Tamandua tetradactyla: one gene and its partner. The protein of the gene in region 1 purifies or fractionates together with the protein of each later gene. This does not show direct contact. Links are inferred from orthologs where the notes say so. Each region holds a gene or a part of one and is shown in the gene's direction. Other genes may lie near its edges.

What was found.
Region 2: the proteins of CPSF2 (region 1) and CSTF2 purify together in Homo sapiens (affinity purification with western blotting; 3 studies listed by BioGRID and IntAct, with this or other methods). This does not show direct contact. The link is inferred for Tamandua tetradactyla from reciprocal best matches to the Homo sapiens genes CPSF2 and CSTF2.

The regions. Positions count from the first base shown.
Region 1 is NC_135338.1:52,975,237-52,983,256, forward strand, and holds the start of CPSF2 (cleavage and polyadenylation specificity factor subunit 2), read left to right. Parts: upstream 1-4,784; 5' UTR 4,785-4,959; intron 4,960-5,556; exon of another isoform or gene 5,557-6,813; intron 6,814-6,825; exon of another isoform or gene 6,826-6,941; intron 6,942-7,115; 5' UTR 7,116-7,146; coding exon 7,147-7,295; intron 7,296-8,020. UniProt on the Homo sapiens protein: Component of the cleavage and polyadenylation specificity factor (CPSF) complex that play a key role in pre-mRNA 3'-end formation, recognizing the AAUAAA signal sequence and interacting with poly(A) polymerase and other factors to bring about cleavage and poly(A) addition.
Region 2 is NC_135353.1:72,974,654-72,982,532, reverse strand, and holds the start of CSTF2 (cleavage stimulation factor subunit 2), read left to right. Parts: upstream 1-4,518; 5' UTR 4,519-4,588; coding exon 4,589-4,646; intron 4,647-5,646; coding exon 5,647-5,725; intron 5,726-6,068; coding exon 6,069-6,238; intron 6,239-6,941; coding exon 6,942-7,078; intron 7,079-7,879. UniProt on the Homo sapiens protein: One of the multiple factors required for polyadenylation and 3'-end cleavage of mammalian pre-mRNAs. This subunit is directly involved in the binding to pre-mRNAs.

The DNA.
Region 1 (8,020 bases):
AGAAACCTACAACCTCCAGATGGGTCCCTGGTCCAGATAAGTCCTGAAATTTAGACCAGCCTCTCCAGAACATCAGATAGTTCCATCTCCCTACTCCGCTTTAGTGACAGACCCTTTCAATACCAAATATTTAGAATTGCCATAGTCCAAGCACCCCTAAAGAGAGATATGGAAAGATCAACGGTGATGGTGGAGTTATAGAGAAGATGGGATTTAACAAATGAATATGAATGCTGAATCATTAAATTGATATTTCTTTTAGTCTCCAGTATTTTATGACAGCTAGAAGTAAAAACCTAAAATTGTGGAACTGTAACCCATGTCAAAATCTGAAATATATTCTACAACTAATTGTGGTGCTGTGCTTTGAAATTTATAACTTTTTTGTATATGTTATTTTTCACAGGAAAAAAGGAAAAAAGTCGATTGTGATGATAAAAAAATATTTAAGCCTTCTATATTCTGGAGCAGCTAGAAGGAAAAATATGATCATACGGTAGCCCATGAAAAACTCTGGGATCTGTCCTGTAACCACTTGCTGAAGTGTGCTTTGAAAACTGTTGCTTTTTTATTTCTTTGTTTTGTACATATGTTATATTTACAATAAAAAAGTTAAAAGAAAAAAAAAGATTCAGTAGTGAGCCCTACTTATTCAGTCAGTAAAGAGGAAATTTTTCCACGTATGCCAATATTTTTGCAGTATAGATATTTATATCATCAAATCTGTGTAGATATAATCTAAATTTTATTAACTCTAATGTGTCAATGCAATTACCTTAATTTAGAATTTGGAATCTCTGCTTTATATATTAGGTAGGCTCTTTATTACTATCTCTTGAATTGAAAACACATTCCCATATAGGGTCAAGTAACCGTTGTGTAGTAAGGTACTTAAAAATGGAAAGGACACACAGCCTAGTTGTGCTGGTTTGAAAGGATATATGCCCCTTAAGAAAAGCCATGTTTTAATATAAATCCCATTTCATAAAGGTAGAATAATCTCTATTCAATACTGTATGTTTGAAACTGTAATGAGATCATCTCCCTGGTTGATGTGATTTAGTCAAGAATGGTTGTTAAACTGGATTAAGGGATGACATGTCTCCACCCATTTGAGTGGGTCTTGATTAGTTTCTGAAGTCCTATAAAAGAGGAAACATTTTGGAGAAACAGATTCAGAGAAATTCAGAGAGAGCAGAGAATGCTGCAGCACCACCAAGCAGAGTCCACCAGCCAGCGACCCTTCGAGATGAAGAAGGACAACACCTCCCGGGGAGGTTCATGAAACAGGAAGCCAGGAGACAAAGCTAGCAGATGATGCTGCATTCGCCATGTGCCCTTTCAGCCAAGAGAGAAGCCCTGACTGTGTTCGCCATGTGCTGTCTCACTTGAGAGAGAAACCCTGAACTTCACTGGCCTTCTTGAACCAAGGTATCTTTCCCTGGATGCCCTTGATTGGACATTTCTATAGACTTGTTTTAATTGGGACATTTTCTCGGCCTTAGAATTGTAAACTAGCAACTTATTAAATTCCCCTTTTTAAAAGCCATTGTTTCTGGTATATTGCATTCCAGCAGCTAGCAAACTAGAACACTAGTTTTACCACAATCTTTAGAATCTGGAAATTTGGGACAGATGTATTTCCATTCCATTTTAACAATATTCCTTCTATTATACTACCTTGAATTTTGCATGTGTGAATATACTAAGATAAGTTGCAATAAAAAAGACTTGATTGAGCAAAAACAAACAAAAAAATGGTTAGGACTCAGTGTGCTGGGGAATATAGCTGAAATTCCTGCCTCTCTCTTCTAAAAGAGTGGTTTTTAAATAATTTTTTTTTTTTTTACATGGGCAGGCACTGGGAATCAAACCCGGGTCCTCTGGCATGGCAGGCAAGCATTCTTGCCTGCTGAGCTACCGTGGCCCGCCCTCTAAATAATTTTAATTCTTTCGTTTCTTAAACTTCAATCAAACACTCTTTATATACCAGGCCATGAAGTTAAAAGTCACACAATCACTATATATTATACGAAGTGTATTTCTAATTATTTCCTGGATGACTGAAGCAAATAGTTCTTCGACAATATCTATGCTATCTTATTTCCCACAAGATGGTGGTTCTTTCAGCTTTGTGCCTTTGTTAAGTAGCATTATTTACATTTAGATCTTTAAGTACTTTTTGTGACTACTGACCAAGTGCCTACCAATTGCTTACTGTCTCAGACACTTACATGCTTTATGAATTCTGAGACAGTCAAATATGGGGATAACATGTACCACCTTAATCAAGTAATATAAAGTAACTTTGAAAGTGATAAACTGCAAATTACTAAAAAATAGTATAGGCCTTTACAGAGGCTGAGTAGCCATCTATTCTGTTTCATCTGTATCAGGCTCTTCAACTTTCTTAGGAGATGTCTGTTCCACCTTATGTCTGGCTGACAACCAACCACAAAAACATACTTGCTGACCCCAAGCCCAAGACTGTTTCAAATAATCCCATGGCCACCTGTGGGCTATGAGCCATTAGCGTTGGCATTCTTCCAACAAGGCCAGCGCTAAGGAGTTGGTTTTGTCTAACCCTACCCTGAACAGAAGAGATTAGAGACACTTCTGCATATAGGCTCTTATAAAAAGCAAAGGTAGAATCAGAATCCAAACCTGGTCTCAACCAACACCAAGAAGCATAATTCCACCCCTAAGAAATAAATGACAACTCTTAGTCCCACAGGCATTTCACACTATCATTGTACAATCCATCATTTAGTGGACTTTGGAAGCAGTGGTACAACTTACACTGTATTTTTACTGACAGTGGGTGACCTGGGAGGACAAAGATTTATGGATATAAGAAGTGCGGTAGAATGATTTCCGAGAATGGACAGAAGGATAGAAGGGCTCTCAGGCTCTTGGGGATAAGTCATTGGCCCCAAAACATAGGTGAGTTTTATCTGATAAGAAAGGGCAGTGAGGACTAGGGTCAGGCTTCAGTCAAATGAGCCTAAGTTTTGGATGAAAGAAGAGTGTGCAGGAGGCACTTAAGGAAGGAGTAAAGACCAGTTGCTCTAGACATGGGTGTCCACAAGAGAGATGTACATGCACTTTTACTAATTTGCAACCTGCCATTCTGTCACATATCTACATTAAGATATAACGTCAGACACAGGCCTATGTAACTCCTTTTATTTATCCTTAAAGATGCTATTAAGGCCAATGTACAATACATTAATGTCTTCTTTACATGAGGACCCTCAAGAAAGATTGTGCTTTCACTTCAGAAATGGGAGAACAGGTTTTTACCTTATGGACTCTAGGAATCATGTTAACTGATCAAGATCGGAAATGTTTCTGCTGTCCTCTAACAACAGCTGAGTTTTTTATAGCACCCTCTTATCCAGCACCCTATTGCTTTTCATAAACATCCATTAATTTAATCCTCACAACACTATGTATGTGTTAACCAATATAACATCCCCAATGCATTTTTTTTTTCAGATGCGGAAATCCAGGGATAATTATGATAAAGTCATTTGTCCAGTTTCAAAGATATGGTAAACGGAAGAGATAGCATTAGTAACCAGGCAGTCTGGCTCTCTGGTCCGAGCAATTTTCTTGTGCTTTACTGCCTCTCATAGTAAGTCCATAGTAAACATTTATATTAACCTCACTATTGGCTTTATATTTTTTCCCCTAATATTACTTATTCTTCAACCCAATTTATTCCAGTTAGGTCCTAAAACGATTCTTTATATCTGCTATTATTTTTGTAAGTCACTCCGAGTTCACGTTTGAAAGATATAATTATATTTAAATACTTAAAAAAATTCTTTCTAATTGGTCTCCATGGCTCTTTATATGCACTGTCCCAAAAATGCCGATTTAACCTATAAAGAAACAATGCTGGATGCACGAAGGATCAAACTCCTTGAGGTATACACATCCTAAAAACCATGCACAAATAAAATATTGTATTGTTTTGTCTTGTTTTTAAGCAAAAGAGTACATATCTTGCGGAACGGTCGGCGCAGGAGGGCTTGAGATTTAGAAGAATGAAGTTAGCTTCCAATCCTAACTAATGAGGACACGGAATGCTGAATCTTGGACGAATCTGAAATGCTCGCGGATAAGCAGCCCCATGCATCCCTTCCTGAGTCTCGGTTTCCTCCCAGTCCGGTGAGGGGCAGTCACCGGGTATCTCGAAAGACTTTTTGCAATTATGGCAGCCTCAGATACCTTTTCCTGACAGTTCCAGGAGGGAAAGGTGAACCCAGTAGTCCACCAGAAGAAAACGCTAGTTCCCTCTCCTCTTTCCCGGCTCCCACGCTCGAAGGCCTCTGGAAGTTCGGCCGCTTCAGCCCCGGGGCGATCTATCACCAGATCCATCACCGCCGAGGGCTTTTATAGAGATGAACCCCGTACCCCACCTCCACACCCGCCTGCACAACTTGACCCGGCGGGCCTCAGCGCCCTGAACCCCAGAACTCACCAGCCGCCGCGGAGCCAACCACGACCCCACGACCAAGGACAGCTGTGAGCTCAGCCACCGGCGCCGACGGAAGCTGCGGCCTCGGGACTCGTCAGGAAGAGAGGGGTGACGCCGGGAAGTCGTACGTCTTTCTTTTAATATGTGAATCTTCTCGTTCTTGTTTTAGCTCGAAAACGACATAAATGTTTTTAAAATAAAACGTCAGTCCAAGGTGAGGAGACTTGTGCGTGGAAATGCCATCTCCTTCCCTCAGCTTCGTGTTCCTTGTCCCCAGAAGATGGTATCACCCTGGGTCTTCTCCGCCTTGGCGGGTCGCCTGTAGTTTCAAAATGGCGGCCTCCACTGCGGGTCTTCTGCCTGCCGATCGTCGCGGGTACTGCTGAGTGAACGTCAATTTTCCTCGCTCTTGAACCGGGACTCGACGAGGGGTTGGGAAGGGCAGTGGACGGCGTTGGGGGAGGACTGATGAGGCAAGTGGGGGCGGAAGAAAAGAGTGAGCCCCTGGATGGGGGAGGGGGCTTCCTAGGAGTTCAGGAAGAGCCTGGCTCCAACACAGACACAGCCTCCTCTCCTGGGGACAAGCTCTGGGGTTTCGTTGTGCCGGTCTTGGTCGTTCCTGGCCGAAATGCTCAGCGAGGGAAAGAAAAACGTCTTCTTCATGGGTCTAAAATTCTTGGCTCTTTTGGCAATCTGTACGGTTCACTCCCATGCTCCTTTCCTCCTTGCTGTATTCCTCTCCCCTTTCATTCTGTTGGCACTGGAGGAGTTAATCTGACTCCAGCTTTAGTTCCTACGTCTCTTGGCTGCGTTTTTCTCCATGTCCCTTTTAGCCTCCTCGCCCGAAGTCGCCCGTCGACACCGGTTGAAAGACCGCGAATCTACTAAGCACTGGGCACAAAGTAGGCGTCTTTGTAGTTAATTGACTCCAAAGACCTTTAGGATGTTATCACGCTTTGTTAAAAAAGTCTTTCTCCTCCCCCCGCCCCCGCGTCCTGTCTCCCTAGCCCCCAAGCCCTTCCACCATCACTGCAGTTTCACCAGATCTCATTCTCTTTGACTTTATGCTATTTTATATGCTCTGCAGAAAACCGGAGGTCTGACTGGATGTAAACCTTGGCAGGTCTGGCCTGTGACCGGGCGAACCCGAGTTATCACTTGCCCGTACTCTATAATGCTTTTATTTTACAACCCCTTTGGCTCTGTTATGAAACCTCTGCTCCCCTGAAACTAGTCAGTAATAGACTTTGGCACCTAGTTAGTTCCAGTGCTTTCCCAGACTCCGTTTTTACCTAGATTTTGCCTAGTTTTCTTTACTTTGTCATCAACAAGCATGATCATTGCTGAGAGAGCCAGTAACTGTGACAAATATTTGAAATGAAGTAGTGTTGGTCAAAATCACTGCCCTGAAGGAATTTGAGCACTGTGTTTGGTCTTGAAATGGCATACAAAGATTAACTATAATACGTGCTTTTATATTGTCAATTTCTAGTCAACAGTTTTCTGTGTGTATGTGCCCACTTTGTGCGAGGCAAAAATAACTAGCTTTGGGGACACTGAAAAAAGTTTTAAAAGGAGTTAATATTTGAACTGGGTCATGAAAGGTCAAAAGAAATTTGCTAAGCTCAAGAGGCGGTCATGAAGAGGTGACAAATACACAGATGCAGACTTGAGAAGTTTTGGTGTACATAGGGAGAGTGAGAAAATAAATGTGCTTAAGCACACAGGGCAGGGATTGTAGGTGAAGCAAAGGATAGATTGAGATAAACTTGTGAAGGGGCTTGATTTCCCACTAAGGGGTTTACATTTCATTCAGTAGTCAACAGGAAAGCCATTGGTTATTTTGTGCAAAGTGGGGGCATGAGAATATTTGATTCTTAGGATGGTCTTTCTGACTGCTGTTATCGAGGATCAACTTGGAACATGAAAACTAGATGAGGAAATTAAAATCATTCAGGTAAGGTAATGAGTGTCTTGATTGAGGTAGGACAGTAAGGATGTAAAACATTTCTGAAATGTCAACAAGTATTCAACTAGTGATGACCAAATTGATGATAGGAGAGCAATTCCAGAATTTTAGTCTGGGAGACTAAATGGGTACTGATACTGTTAAAATCAAGTGTAAGCCGTGTGTTAAAATAGAATGGTGCCAACCTGCACTTAGGAGTGACAGCATAGAGCTCTAAAATCTAAAGCATTGATTTTAGAATCTAGAGTCTAGCTTAAATGATCTAGTCTCTGTTCTAGCTCTTCATACATTATATCAAAGCTTCCAACATTACTTTTACGTATGCATTACTTATCTGGTTTTTAGACCAAATATATAGGTGAGAAAAGGTTAATTAACTTGTCTTAAACCACAACAGAGTAAATTCAACTCTGTATCTCTGATTCCCAAGTCCACTTAATTTACACTAAACCACACCAGGAGCCAAAAAAGAACATATCAACAAAGGTATGTTTGCATTTTAAAGTTAGCAATGATGGCAATTGGACTTTAAAATGTTTGTTTTCTATGTTGATGGGATTTTTGTGCACTTAAAAACCTGATCTAATTTTTGTTCACTGTCTATTATATATATTCAGTTGCATTCTTATGCTTAATTTTAGTTTCTTTTTCTTTTAAAAGAACCTTTTAGATTGTTGCTAGTGGACAAAAAATGACATCTATTATCAAATTAACTACCCTCTCTGGGGTCCAAGAAGAATCAGCTCTTTGCTATCTTCTCCAAGTTGATGAATTTAGATTTTTACTGGACTGTGGTTGGGATGAACACTTTTCTATGGATATTATAGATTCCCTGAGGAAGTAAGTTACTTTTACTGTTCATATTTCTGGACTTTTAAATTAACTTCTCTTATCTATACTGCAGTACTAATTTGAAGTTACGATGTTTGCTTTTCTACTATGATTTATTTTATTTATAATAAAGGACTTAATTTTCTTATGTTGAAGTGAACATTTTAATTTCCAAAGTTTTGTGTGACTTACTAAGTGTGTTTATTGAAATTCAGCAGAATCTTAAGATAATTGTTATTTGGCTGATGGATCACTCAGTAAAAATTCTGCGTGCTAATTTTAGATAAGAGCAAGAGTTTGAGGAGAGGAAAAGCTTTCCATGTGAAAATTCTGCAGTCAGATCACATTTAACCTATTTTCTATATCTTTTGATGCTAGAATTGGTGGTCAGAATGCCTTGTGAGATGCAAAAGGATCCTAATTCATCAAATAAAATTTCATTTATGTTCCCATTATTATGTTAATTACAGAAGGAAAGAGGACTTAAACATTTTTAAAAGCTTAGAACTTGAAGCAAAATGCATTCTCTGTATAATTGAGATTTTATTATAATGAATATGTGGTCAGTTACTGTCCTAAAAAGCTAAGGCCAAAATCTGTAATAAATACTGGACAGATTAAACATCATCTCTTTAACAGTTCCTGAAATTCTAAGCTAAGTACTTGAACTAATGGTTATATGAAATAGCCATTCAAAATCAACTTATTTATTTTTCATTTTTTTAAAGTGTCTA
Region 2 (7,879 bases), on another chromosome or scaffold:
TCAAACATGAAGTAATAGTCTTAGATGTTTGATCTCTGTCGTGGGGCACACCGAAAGAGAAACCACACAATTCAAAACTCCAAGCCAATTGGGAGTCTTTATTAGCCGGCCGGCGACTGCCTCAGAAACCGCCAAGAAAGAAGATTCAGAGAGCAGCCGCCCAGAGGTTTTCAAGGTGTGCTTATAAAGGCTAAAGTCATGTTGTGGTTTGCAGTTGCTGGCAAGGAAGTGTAATCACAGAAGCAGAAAAATGCCATTAGCTGTTGCCAAAATACATCCCGTGCCCTCAGTTTCCTAACATTGGTCATTGTTTAATTCTTGGGGACATTCCATCCCAGATCTTTGAGGACTTTTCCTGCTCGGGCCTGAATGATTGCTCCTGGCCCTCCACAATCTCCTCTACCCAGAAGAAAGAACCTGAGTCTCTGTACCCTCAAAATTTTGAAGTCTTTGCTTGTTTCTTTATCCAAGATTATCAATACCAAGACTGAGTAAGAATTCAGGACTTTTCCTCAAAACTTTATTCCAATGCCACACAAATCTTGTCTATGGTTTCCCAAATCCTTTCATTCTCCACTAAGTACCCATTCTCTTCTGCTCAAAGCCCCCAAATAACATCCATTCTATATATTTAGTCCCATTTATGTAGAAATGTATCTTTCTTAGTTTCCCTGTACCTCTTTATACTGCACTTGTACTGTTGTACTGAGGCTCAGTCATAATACTTACAATCACATCCAGTGTACTACCTTCAGTTTTCATTTTTCTATAACCTGGAGGCAAAAGAAATGCTGTCACTCAGGGAGCATCTTGATGAAGGGAGAAAACTCTCATAGACAGGCACTGAGGTCATGAGCACAAGGCCTGTAAGTGAACGAAAAATTAAAAAAGCAAAAGCCTGCAATATATCCTTTGCACACACCACCTCTTCTATAACTAAAAGAATGGGGTTGGTTACTGAAGAGAAAGAACCAATAGTCCATTCTTCACAGATGGCTGATAATAGCAGAACAAACCCTGCTCAAGTGTCTTGACCTTTCCTTGGATGGGTCTTTATTGTGAGCCACCAACCCACCATCACCAGGTCATATGCTCTAATCTCTTTCCCCAAAACAGTAATATGTTAAACTATCCATATTGTCATGCTGGGAGGCAATAGATACAGCAGTTAAACATTCAGTCTCTGGAGCCAGAGCAACTTGAGTTCAAATCATGCCTTAGCTACTTATTGTGGGACCTATTGCAAGTTGCTTAATCTTCTATAATTATAAATAGTCTATCAATAAAATGCTGTGATAGGCAGAATTCCAAGATGGTCCCCCAGAATTCCTGGCTCGCTGGTGTAAATGCTCTATAAAATTACTATGACTGCAAATACGAAGATTTTACTTTCCTGGTTAGGTTATGTTACATAGCACAGCTGACCTCAATACAGGGAGATTATCAAGGTGAGCCTGATCCTATCAAAAGCCCTTTCAAAGCAGAGTTTTCTCTGACTGGCCATAGAAGTCAGATTCAAAGTACTAAAAGGATTTGACAGCCATTGCTAGCTCTGAAATGCAGACGCTCACATACAAAGACCAAAAACAGGCTCTAGGAGCTAGCTGAGGCAGCATGGAAACAAGGACCTCAGTCCTACAACTACAAAGATTTGAATTCTGTGAACAACAAAGAGCTTGGAAGCTGATTCTTCCTGAGAGTTCAAATAAGAGCCCTACATCTTTTTTTGTTTTGTTTTGTTTTGTTGTTGCTGTGGTTTTATTAATAAAACCAATCAACATACAATATGAACATTCTGTTTTTCATCACATAGTTGTATATTCATCATTATGATCATTTCTCAGAACATTTGCATCACTTCAGAAAAAGAAATAAAAAGAAAACAAAGAAATTCATACATATCTTACCCCTTACCCCTTCCTTTCATTGATCACTAGCATTTCAATCTAAATATATTTTAACATTTGTTCCCCCTATTATTCATCTTTATTCCGTATGTTTTACTCATCTGTTGATAAGGTAGATAAAAGAAGCATCAGACACAAGGTTTTCACAATCACACAGTCACATTGCAAAAGCTATATCACTGTACAATCATCTTCAAGAAACATGGCTATTGGAACACAGCTCTACATTTTCAGGCAGTTTTCTCCAGCCTCTCTGTTACACCTTAACTAAAAAGGTGATATCTATTTAATGCATAAGAATAACCTCCAGGATAATATCTCGACTCTGTTTGTAATCTCTCAGCTGTTGATGCTTTATTTTGTCTCATTTCACTCTTCTCCCTTTTGGTCAAGAAGATTTTCTCAATCCCTTGATGCTGAGTTCCAGCTCATTCTAGGATTTCCGTCCCACGTTACCAGGAAGGTTTACACCCCTGGGAGTCATGTTCCACCTAGAGAGGAGGGGGGCAGTGAGCTTGCTTGTGGTGTTGGCTGAAAGAGGCCACAACTGAGCAACAAAAGAGGTTCTCTTGGGGGTGACTCTTAGGTTTAATTTTAAGTAGGCTTAGCCTATCCTTTGCGTGGTTAAGTTTCATATGAACAAACCCCAGGATTGGGGAGAGCCTTACATTTTGACTTCAACCTTCTGAGACCCTAAACAGCGAACCCAGTCAAGCCTAAACGGACTTCTAACATACAAAACTATGAGCTAACAAATGAGCGTTATTTTAAGCAGCTAAATTTGTGGTACTTTGTAACACAACAATAGAAAACCAATACAATAGAGACATAGCAAATGCTCAATAAATGTTCATTTTTTTACTACGGATTCATTGGGATCAGTCACAGAGCCGTGAGAAGACTAAAATGTAAGTTATCTATGCAAGACTGGCAATCCAGAGGCCATTTAGTCTCATATTGCTGATACTAACAAGGGTACTAAAATTGCACTGTTTCTCAAGCGGAGAAACGTTATTAGCATTTAGTGGAGAGAGGGATTCACTGTATAGAACTGCTCTGGATATTGCAATATATTTATGACCTCTGGCTGCTTTCTCCCTCCAAAAAAGCGTCCCCCCACTAACGGCAATAACTAAAAACATTCCCATACATTTCCAAATACCCTCCCCAACAAGGGATGGTTCTGGGTCTACTACTGCAGAAAATTTTATAACAAAGCACAACTGTCATAAATGTTGCCATAAAAGTAGTACCTCAATATACAATGTTGCACAAATTGTCTGACCCTAAGAATCACCCGGGGTACTTGTTTTAAAATAAGGTTCCTCCCTGTAATCTTATTCCACAGGTTTGGGGTGGAGCCCTAGGAATCTCTATTCTTAGTAAAGCACCCCAGGTAAATCTTTTTCATGGATGTTTGGGAAACACTAGATTAGAAATATATTCTGCCATAAATGCATTTTTCAAAACTTTAGCACACTAGGAAAATTGACTCACTCCAAGGCTCTTTAAATCTGTCTTTTACAGAGCTGTAAACCTAGTTTTGGATTATTCTATTACAAAGGTGTTCTCTTGGTCACACAAAATTGAAAATGGGACCCAAAGTTATGGAAGTGGGAGAACTCTTCCAAAACTTTCTAAATTTATCAGAATCGCTACTTGAAACGACGCGGTAAATGGTGTGAAGGCGCACTTTTCCAACTATTTCTCTTCCTTCAAGCAAGGACCTACACACATACACAAACACTCCTAATATATGTTATTAATTTTAAAAGCATATGTCTCAAATTCTGTAGATATTTTACCAGCTCTCCCTTCCTTTTCTGAGACAGAAAATTCATCAAAGCAATCTTGACTCCTTCCTTTTTTTCTCTCCTAACTCCATTCTCTTCAGTTACCCTCCTGTGGATTTCCTCCGACCCAGACAGGTTTTGTCTTCCTGTGGGGTGGCAACGACTAGTCCTGCAAGCCATATTTCAGGAGTTTTCGGGAACCAGAGATCAGCCAGTGATGTTTTCCGTTCTGTTTCCAAAACTCTACTGCCAAAGTCCTTCGCCTGCCCCCACCCCCCATCAAGCACGTGGAGCTACGAGAGCGCAGACTGTTCTCACTTCACCTTCCCATCTCCTGATCTATCCTGGTGCCCTGACGGTGAATGCCCTTGATTCTCATTTTCTTGCCGGACAAAACTATCTCTCCTCACCTCACTGCAGATACAGCTTCAGCAAAATCACAGTGTGCCTGCCGCTGAGGCGGGAGCAAACATTTCCTTCTCTCAATCAGGCGGAACTAAAATGAAATTTCCCTGGTATTGGCAAAGGACTTCCCTGACACCGTGGTAAAGCCGCTGACGCCATTTTTATTGCGGGCAAAGATTACTTGCGTCAGCGAAGGAGAAAATTAATAATAACAGGAACTTCTACGAACTAAAAGCCTTCAAATTAGCCTGGATCCGGCTCAGAAGGGAGTTATTACTAGGCGACAGTCTTCGCGGAGGGAGTTTTGCTCTTGTAGGCTTAACACGCTCCTACGGCGACGAAACGTCGCACAGGGAAGGGATCTTGCCTGCATCCGGCCTAGGCGCTTCCGGTTCTTGCGCCGTACGGAAGCATAGTCAACTCTGAGTTCACGCGCCGTACGGAAGTGTGCTGCAGCGCACCGGAAGCCGCCGGAAGAGAGCCATGGCGGGTTTGACTGTACGAGATCCTGCGGTGGACCGTTCGCTACGTTCTGTGTTTGGTGAGGGAATTCATTGGAGCCAGGCATCGGGGAGGTGCAGAAAGTGGCAGAGGGCGGCGAGGAACACCCCCAGCACCTCATGAATCGCCGCAAGAGCCGGTGATGGGTCGGTCATAGAGCTCCACCTGTCCCTGTGGGACGGCAAACCTGGTGGACTCGTGGGCAGAGATGCTCCTCTTTCCCCGAGGTCCCGCAACCTTTCTGCGATGTTGTTAGATGAGCGTTGAGCTTCTGTGCGTTTCTCCTTTAATGAACTTAAATTATTTATCTAGAAGCGAGGATGCATAGCGACAGTCTCATTGTCCAATACTACTTCTCATCCCCTATCCCAGAATACACATTACATGCTGAGTGGTATCCCTATGTCCACTTCCCGCCTTCTCATAAGGGCTTTCATCCTCCGCTTCTAACGATAACATTTTAGTTCATCGATGGTGGTAGCGGCCACCTGGCGTCTTGAGGCGGACTATAAATGAATGAATGAACGAGTAAGAGCTCAAAGAGGATCGAATGTATTCTGAGAAATTTTTTCGGCCGAAATAAGTCTTTCTTCAAAGTTATGAGTGGTGATTTTAAAGCACCTTTTGAAAGAGTGGCGAAACAGTTCAGAATAATGTTTAAACATTTTTGGTCATTCTCCCGTGTGTTTATGAATGTGGAAATACGAACAGTTGAGCCTGTTTGAAAAAATATAATATTGATATTTTTAGTAGCTATTGGGTGGGGGATCAGATTGCAGACCTTCAGGTAAACACTTATGCTAAGTATTTTCACCAAAGTTAAGGAAATTTTAAAACTTGTCAGATCAGTTAGAACTAATACTTAGGAGTACCTACACCTTTTGTATTTAGTGTCCTTAGCGATTTTTTTTACCTTGTCAAGAGTACGTGGTACTGGAATTTGGGGAACACTGTATTCATTGAAGTAGATTCTTTATAGTGTTTACTTTCTCACTAACTATCATGGTTACAAAGATAGAATTTTAATCTTTCTTTCTTAGTGGGAAACATTCCTTATGAAGCCACTGAAGAGCAGTTAAAGGACATCTTTTCTGAGGTTGGACCTGTTGTTAGTTTCAGGTGAGGGCCCCTTTTATTTCTTGGTGGGAAGGTTCTTAAAAATTGCCACAAATTTCACCCTTAGAAAAAATGGCAAGTTGTTTTACTGGTGACTTTTCATGTGTATTTTTTCTGTTAACAGCTTTATTGATATAATTAATATACCATGTAATTTGATGCATGCTTTCCTAAAAGATATGTGTATTTTTTAATTTAAAAAGAAAGTTAAAAAAGATTTCAGTGAAGCAAAGTCAGAATTATTAAATTTTATCCTTTAGTGAGCCAAATTAGAACATGAAAATGTTAGCAAGAACCCTGTATGTGTACATAACATGTGTGTTCAATACTTGGTTCTGCTCTCTAGGTTGGTATATGATAGGGAAACAGGAAAACCAAAGGGTTATGGCTTCTGTGAATACCAAGACCAGGAGACAGCCCTTAGTGCGATGCGGAACCTGAATGGACGTGAGTTCAGTGGAAGAGCACTTCGAGTGGACAATGCTGCTAGTGAGAAGAACAAGGAAGAGCTAAAGAGTGAGTATAAACCCAAGTTGTATGCAGGATGAGTTTATAAGATATTACAATGAAGATTTTTCTGTTTATGGTATATTCTAGAATATGCTGAAATGGTTAGCCACACAGTTTCTTTACTTGATCAATCTGAGATACCTAAATTAGGGATGTGTGTATCTTTGAGAAACAAGCTAAAGTTGACTTTGGAAGTCCTTCAGTTGCCAAGGAGTTGATTTCCAGTTGAAGATGAATTTAATTCAGGCACACTAAGCCATCAGTAGTGCTAACCATGTTGTTAGTGCTTGCTACTCCTTATTACCATGTTGCCAAATCTGTAATTGATGGGGTACTAAGGCATTTTTATGGCTTTTTTCATGAAGTGATAGATGCAGAAATTCCATTTTGAAATGAGCATCTTTTTCTGTTTAAACCTTTTGCCTCTGAAATGTTCTGTCAAAAGAAGTTGATATGCCTAGGTTCCTAACCTAGGTTAACATTGTCTGTCTTTGTGATCCTGTTCTCAGCTTTCCTCTGAGAGCAGAAAATACACTTTGTCACTTTCTCCATAGAAATAAGAGACTTGCAAATTAACTATTTCTCAGCTCTAGAGAATGTTAAAGTTATTGAATAGTCCTTACAGCAGCCCTGGAATGTAGATATTTGAAATGATTTAGCCCTTTATTTTGTCTCTTTAACTTTCTCCTTGTACTTTCTTCCTCATCAGGCCTTGGCACTGGTGCTCCTGTCATTGAGTCACCTTATGGAGAGACCATCAGTCCTGAAGATGCTCCTGAGTCCATTAGCAAAGCAGTTGCCAGTCTTCCACCAGAACAGATGTTTGAGCTGATGAAACAAATGAAGGTGGGAGGAGGCAATAGGTTATGAATAAATCAGATCCTCTCAGATTTTTAAGGAGTAATTAATAAACTTAGTGGAAATGATTCCCACATCTTAAAAGAATATAACTTATGAGAAGAGCTTAATTGAACACCGTAAGTACATGGAACCTTGAGTAGGGCATGACATTTTGTAGGTTTGTCCAGAGTGATGCCCCGATAAAGCCCAGAGTGATTTGAACAGTGAATAAAGAAGTATTTGCCAAGTCCCCTTGGGGGAATGGTGAGAAAGGGGGAAAATTCAACTTCCCCAAGTGGAGAATTCTTAATATTCTCACAAGCAGTGAGGACAACCAAAGCAATAGGCTGAGCCCCCAATCTTGGGGTTTGTTCGTATGAAATTTAACCCCGCAAAGGATAGGCTAAGCCTACTTAAAATTAGGCCTAAGAGTCACCCCCAAGAGAACCTCTTCCGTTGCTCAGATGTGGCCTCTCTCTCTCAGCCAACACGACAAGCAAGCTTACTGCCCTCCCTCTCTCTACATGGGACATGACTCCCAGGGGTGTAAACCTTCCTGGCAAAATGGGACAGAAATCCTAGAATGAGCTGGGACTCAGCATCAGGGGATTGAGAAAACCTCCTAGACCAAAAGGGGGAAGAGAGAAATGAGACAAAATAAAGTGTCAATGGCTGAGAGATTCCAAGCATAGTCAAGAGGTTATCCTAGAGGTTATTCTTATGCATTAAATGGATATCACCTGTTTAGTTAAGGTGTAACATAGAGGCTGGAGGGAACTGCCTGAAAATGTAGAGCTGTGCTCTGGT